Macaca mulatta: one gene and its partner. The protein of the gene in region 2 interacts with the protein of the main gene of each other region in a pairwise test. Links are inferred from orthologs where the notes say so. Each region holds a gene or a part of one and is shown on either strand. Other genes may lie near its edges.

Region 1 (3,651 bases), on a different chromosome or scaffold from region 2:
AACATCTGGCCAAAAATAACTATTTCCTGGGTTTAGAACAAGAGATCCGAGACAACTTAACCTTTGGTTATATTTCTGCTTTAATATATAGTAACATTTGAAAATACGCAGATATCCAGGAAAAAAAGGTAAAGCAGTATGAGGTATTGAGAGCACAACTGTGCTTTAATTTGGGAGTTATTTGGGGTGTTATGTAACAGCAATTGTACTTGTAGATAAACATGTCCACTAGCTCTGCAAACACATTCAAAGGTAATAGTATATAGTACACTCCACACTGTAAAATATGTCAAATACCCCCACTCTACAAATTCACTGTGCTTCACTATTTTTTTGTTTTGTTTTTATAAGAAAAGGGGCATATCTGTAATTCACAATCCAAGTCAGATTCTTAATTTAGGTACGAAATATTACCTGCCAATTTGCTTCTCAAACCATTTTTTAAAAAAAATATATTCTTTAAAGCCATTTTATGGCCATGGGAATCTAATTAATTTCATAATGATGTTGGCTGAATATGATACCAAAAAATGCAGGTATTTTCAAGAACAATAAGATAGATAACAGCATTAAAGCATAATCCTTTAAGAATTCATGAGAAAAAAAGGATGATAAAACTTAAGCTTCTTTTTCAGATGTTTAAAAATGTCTATAAAATCCTTTGTCCCAAGGTTGATCATCTAACCATGGTACGCAAAATATGCTAAATACATTGCCTGGTGTCAAGGTGGGAAAATTCTCTTTTATATCATAAAATCCTCTTCTAATCCATGTTGACCCAAGTCCTGGCTGTCTGAGGGCAGATTCCTGTCAAGAGACCTAAGGTTGTCATGGAAAGCATCACTTTCATCTACTGGTTGGTAATCTTGTTCCATTTCAGTTACGAAGCCACTCCCAGATCCTGATCCAGAGCCGGAGCCGGAACCTGATCCAGAATAGTCCTCAGAAAGTGGGAAGATACGATTCAAGTCCTGGATTCTTGTCTTTCTGAAGTATGAAAGAAAAATGGGAAAAAAAAACAGTAGAGTTTGATATGTGGGAAAGATAATTTTAACAGTTTTTTTTAAAGATAAGGAGATAAATAGAGCGATCTAGTTGCTTAAATTAAGAGATTTAAAAGCTTCCAAATTATTCAATGTTTTAAAACCAACAAAAAAACAGGTCAAATGTTCCTATGTGTTTGCCTATACTTATTGCACCGATCAACTCCACATCTACCTATTGCAGATAAACAGTGTTAATTTTGTTATCACTAGCATATACATTCTATATTTGAAATTTACTTAAGAAATCATTTTTATTTTTATTTTTTTAATTTTTATTTTTGGAGACAGAGTCTTGCTCTGTTGCCCAGGCTGGAGTGCAGTGGTGCCATCTCGGCTCACTGCAAGCTCCGCCTCCCAGGTTCAAGTGATTCTCCTGCCTCAGCCTCCCAAGTAGCTGGGACTACAGGTGTGCGCCACCACACCCGGCTAATTTTTGTATTTTTAGTAGAGATGGGGTTTCACCATATTGGCCAGGCTGGTCTTAAACTCCTGACCTTGTGAACCACCCACCTCAGCCTCCCAAAGTCCTGGGATTACAGGCGTGAGCCACTGCACCCGGCCCAATAAATCATTTTTAAAAGAAGGCCTCTTGGCCGGGTGTGGTGGCTCATGTTTGTAATCCAAGCACTTTGGGAGGCCAAGGTAGGTGATCAATTGAGGTCAGGAGCTCGAAACCAGCCTGACTAACATGGTGAAACCCCGTCTGTACTGAAAATACAAAAATTAACCAGGCGTGGTGGCACACGCTTGTAATCCCAGCTACTCAGAAGGCTGTGGTGACAGAATCCCTTGAACCAGGGAGGCAGAGGTTGCAGTGAGCCAAGATCGCGCCATTGCACTCCAGCCTGGGCAACAGAGCAAGACCGTCTCAAAAAAAGACCTCTTTCTCTCTAAAGGGAGGATAAACTGCCAGGTGCGGTGGCTCACGCCTGTAATCCTAGCACTTTGGGAGACTGAGGCAGGTGGATCACCTGAGGTCAGGGTTTTGAGATCAGCTTGGCCAACATGGTGACACCCCGTTTCTACTAACAATACAAAAATTAGCCGGGCATGGTGGTGCATGCCTGTAATCCCAGCTACTTAAGAGGCTGAAGCAGGAGAATCGCTTGAACCTGGGAGGCGGAGGTTGCAGTGAGCCGAGATCGTGCCACTGCACTCCAGTCTGGGCTACGAGAGCAAAACTCCGTACCCTCCACCAAAAAAAAAAGAAAGGACAAACAACTAACAACTAAGTCAGCCCAGACAGATGACATTTTTTCCTAAATTAAAATTTCCATAAAAGTTCTAATAATTTACAGTGCTTCAACAAAGCTCACTTTTGAGAAATTCTTTGTAAGAAGCTAAGCTTTATATATATACCAGCATATAAACATTCAATTTCCTATCAAAAAATGACCCTGTCTCCAACTTGCATTCATTCAGCTGAAGAGTGCTGAAAGGTAAGGCTGCCTTCTGGGTTGACTGTGATGATTAGAAATTCAAAGAGCACAAAATGGTCCGAGCAATGACGACAGCCCTCGGTGACAGAATAGGATAACGAAGGATCAGAGACAAAAGCTGAGTGTCACAGCTTACAAGTCATTTCCTCCATGAAAATAATAAACCACCAGCATATAACCAATTAGAGTTTTAATTCATGTACACATTCAATAAATATTTGTTGAACATCTGGTCCTTGTTTTGAGGGCCTGGGATAGAACAGAGGCAGACCAATGAAGCGCCTGCTCAAGAAGTTTTTATTTTAGTGGCGAAGACAGACAATCAGTGAATAAATGAATCAGGAAAATCGTAGGTGGTACAGATAAATGAAATTGACTAATGTAATAGGGAGTGACCAGGTGGCTACTTTAGCCTGGGGTGTCAGAGCTGGAAACACAGATTTGGTAGTTAAACCCTTGGAACCAATGGAGGTCATCGACAGAAAACATGTAGATAGAGAAGGGGGACCAGGCCACAGCCAGGGTCACACCAACATGTTAAATATTGAGCAGAGGAAAAAGCACAACCAGAGAAGTAGGAAGAAACAGGATAAGGCAGGGCATGTAAGCCCCAAGACAAAAGCATTTCAAGGGAGGGGTCAACAATTTTTTTTTTTCTTGTAAAAGAAAGGGCCTTCTTCTGTTGTGTGGGCTGGAGTGCAGTGGCATGATCATGGCTCACTGCAGCCTCACCCTCCCGAACTCAAGCCGTCCTCCCACCTCAGCTTCCTTTGTAGCTGGGACCACAGGCGTGAGTCACCATGCCCGGCTAATTTTTCTATTTTTTGTAGATAGGGTCTAACTGTGTTGCCCAGGCAGGCTCGTCTTGAACTCCTGAGCTCAAGTGATCCTCCTGCCTTGGCCTCCCAAAGTGCTGGGATTACATGCATGGCACAGTCAGCCATTTTTGAAGGCAATTAAGGGTCAAGTAAGCTGAAAATAGAGAAGTAATCAGTGACTTTGTCAACCAGGGTGGAGTGTAGGAACAGAAGTCTAGCTGCAGAGGGGGTGAGGAAAGGAGGGAGCAGGCATGGGTGGCCCTTTCAGGAGATGTTATTGTGAAGAGGTGCAGAGAAGGGCAACTGCTGGAGAGGACACAGAGTCAGAGGAGAGATGTTGCCTGAACA
Region 2 (3,567 bases):
CCAGTCTACAGAAAAGTGGACAAAAGTAAATTTCTAACCTGTTCACACATGAGAATCTGCTTTACACAAACACACATCTTAACCCCACTATGAAAAATTCAGCTCCACAAAGTCTGAGGGTAAGATCTGGGAATCTGATTTTTAATAAATCTGGCAGGTGCTCTGATGCAGCCAGTATAGCCTTGACCTCAAGACGCGTGCTTGACAATCTACTGATCTAAAAATACAAAACCAGGCTAAAGACAGCAAACATGTGCTCTAGTAACAACCATACAGATAACTAAGTGTTCTCTCTACATTTAAAGCTTCCATTTAAAAAAAAAAAAATGTGACCAGGTGCAGTGGCTCACGCCTATAATCCCACCAATTTGGGAGGCCAATGCAGGCGGATCACCTGAGGTCAGGAGTTCAAGACCAGCCTGACCAACATGAAGAAACCCCGTCTCCACTAAAAATACAAAATTGGCCAGGCGTGGTGGTGGGCGCCTATAATCCCAGCTACTCAGGAGGCTAAGGCTGAGGCAGAAGAATCGCTTGAACCCAGGAGGTGGAGGCTGCAGTGAGCCAAGACTGTGCCACTGCACTCCAGCCTGGGCAATAAGAGTGAGGCTCTATATCAAAAAAAAAAAAACATGAAAAAGATAGTTTATAAAAGATACTCACCATACACACACACACAAAAGCACAAAGAATAAGAGTATAAACAATGTTTTAATTATGTAAGTGAGGACAACAAAGAAAAAAGCCTGAGTTGTTATAAGCATACCTCCTACTCCAGGCACCAAATTTGGCGCAGTAGTACTCTGCCCAGCAGTGCCACTGGCAGCACTACCAGTAGTGCCACCCACAGTGCTGGTAGTGCCGCTGGAAGCTGATGAACTCTGGGAAGTCTGTGGAGCCCATGGATTGGGTAGTGGATCTCTATTTTCTGTACGGGAAGGTTGACTACCTTCACCAGAGGATGTATTGCTCACCAAGGAAGCAAATGGATTACCACCAAACTGTAATAAAGACAAAAAAATCACAAATAATAAGCTTTTGTTTTAAATAAGACAAGAAACTTTTTTTTTTTTTTTTGAGACGGAGTCTTGCTCTGTCGCCCAGGCTGGAGTGCAGTGGTGCGATCTCGGCTCACTGCTAGCTCCGCCTCCCGGGTTCACGCCATTCTCCTGCCTCAGCCTCCCAAGTAGCTGGGACTACAGGTGCCCACCACCACGCCCGGCTAATTTTTTGTATTTTTAGTAGAGACGGGGTTTCACCATGTTAGCCAGGATGGTCTCGAGCTCCTGACCTCGGGATCTGCACGCCTCAGCCTCCCAAAGTGCTGGGATTACAGACATGAGCCACCGTGCCCGGCCACTAAACATTTTAAAAACTGAAAACCACATTCCTCATATAAAAGCTACCCTCAGTCATACACATATTTGTGTTAAAACAGAAGCTACTCCTTGGCCTGAACCTTGGAGCCAGTGGATCACCTGCTCTTGTGCAGCACTCAGCATTGGTTCCTGAATATCTGTGTACATGCGCCTTAAAGCATTATATCCCCCTGGGATGCTTTCTAGGTTGCTCAAGGCTCGGTCCTGGTTCCTCATCATTTCCTGCATCATTGCTGGATTCCTGGCAAGTTCCAACGTCTAAGAAAAAGATTTCCGAAAAAATTTAAAAAGAAAAAAAGGCATTGAAATACACATGAATTACATGAATTACTTTATTAACTGCCATTAAACAAAGTTTATGGGAGGCCACTGTTTTGGACCAGCCTCCTGCACTATGCCCCAGCAGACCAGACCAAACCAAAATGGAGCCACTTGTGCCAAGTGCCATGTAATCAAGTCAACTATGAAAAGGGCCAGTTTCCCCCTCAAAACCATAGTAAGCTGCAGTCAACGTGAGTCACTGTAACAAGAAAGAGTTCCCTCCATTTTAACCCTATTAGGAAAGTAACTTTGAAATGACCCATCTGCTTTTTGTTTGTTTTTGCTTTCTTCAGCCCTTTTATGCCTATAAAGCCAACCTCTTCTGCTCAGCTCATGGGAACACTCTATTTTATAAAACGAGGTGTTGTCTGATTCTAGAATCACAAATAAAAACCAATTAAAGCTTTAGAGTTGTTGCAATTTTGTTTTTTTTTTTTTGTTTTTGTTTTTTTTTTTTTTTGAGACGGAGTCTCGCTCTGTCGCCCAGGCTGGAGTGCAGTGGCGCAATCTCGGCTCACTGCAAGCTCCGCCTCCCGGGTTCACGCCATTCTCCTGCCTCAGCCTCCCGAGTAGCTGGGACTACAGGCGCCCGCCCCTGCGCCCGGCTAATTTTTTCTATTTTTAGTAGAGACGGGGTTTCACCGTGGTCTCGATCTCCTGACCTTGTGATCCGCCCACCTCGGCCTCCCAAAGTGCTGGGATTACAGGCGTGAGCCACCACGCCCGGCCGCAATTTTGTATTCAATATACAAGGCAGGAGATTATTTTAAATAATCCCTGGTGTATTTCACCTCAAAAAAGGAACTTAGCATTCAAATAACATAAAGAAGGAAGCACTTCGTTAAGAGTGAATTTCCCATCTCCAACATTGGACTTTTTGATTCTTAATCCTTTAAAATAAACTATTTACAAAGATCCCTCAATTTAACAGAAAATTCAGAGTTCAAATAGCCAAATTAGGGCTTTGTTGAGTTTTCTTAAACAAAGGTAAGGATTTCTCTCTTTAGCTTAACCATACATATAGGACAATCTCGTTAATCATAGAAAATTACATAACAAATATATCATTTTTTAGCTAAACAAATTGAAAGAACTTTCCACATACTTGTCTCATTATATCTGGATTATTCAACATATGACTAATTTCTGGATTTCTCTGTATCAACTGCTGCATTTGTGGATTGGCCATAATTAATTGTCTCATCAGGTCAGGATTTGAGAGCATGCTCTGAACAAAGGGATTTTCCATGATCTGGACCATCATTTCAGGGTTAGACAAAAGTTGTCGCTGCATCTGACTCTGTAGTTCAGAGAAGTTGGTAGTATTCAAACCCAAGCTACTCAGACCTGCAAGTCCCCCAAGGCCACCTAAGAAGACAAAGGGCAAAAACATACAAACCAAAGTCAGAAAATTTATCATTAACATGACATAAACTATGAAGATGCAAAAAAGTATTAGTTGACCCAACAGTCTATCACAAGAAATCATTTAAAAACAAATCGAATACCTATTACTAATATTTAATTCCTATCATTGAAATTAGCCAAAAATTTACACTTTGGTTATTAAATTTAAGTAATAAAATCAACAAAATATATTTTCATGTGTGTAGTATAATACATAAATATATTTGGTCTTTCTCCTTGATCCTGAGTTACTAAAACCTTTGGAATTTTCTGAGTGACAGGAGTATCTTTTATTATTCATTACAAGCCCTTTTTGAAAATTATGCTAATGAAGTGACTTAGGCCCCTGGATAGCCTCAGAAAGGAGCTGGGCACCAGAAAGACAAAGTGATTAAAGGGCTGAAGCTTTCAGCCCCACCCACCAAGAAAGTGAGGGAAGGGAGCTGGAGATAGAGCTCTA

What was found. The genes of interacting proteins can lie anywhere in the genome.
Region 1: the proteins of UBQLN1 (region 2) and SRGN interact in binary tests that used the Homo sapiens proteins (3 or more experiments, as listed by UniProt). The two-hybrid records come from large-scale screens. The link is inferred for Macaca mulatta from reciprocal best matches to the Homo sapiens genes UBQLN1 and SRGN.

Annotation. Positions count from the first base shown.
Region 1 is NC_133414.1:80,543,212-80,546,862, forward strand, and holds the end of SRGN (serglycin precursor), read right to left. Parts: intron 988-3,651; coding exon 744-987; 3' UTR 526-743; downstream 1-525. UniProt on the Homo sapiens protein: Plays a role in formation of mast cell secretory granules and mediates storage of various compounds in secretory vesicles. Required for storage of some proteases in both connective tissue and mucosal mast cells and for storage of granzyme B in T-lymphocytes.
Region 2 is NC_133420.1:114,604,506-114,608,072, forward strand, and holds part of UBQLN1 (ubiquilin-1), read right to left. Parts: intron 3,069-3,567; coding exon 2,806-3,068; intron 1,638-2,805; coding exon 1,479-1,637; intron 1,002-1,478; coding exon 767-1,001; intron 1-766. UniProt on the Homo sapiens protein: Plays an important role in the regulation of different protein degradation mechanisms and pathways including ubiquitin-proteasome system (UPS), autophagy and endoplasmic reticulum-associated protein degradation (ERAD) pathway.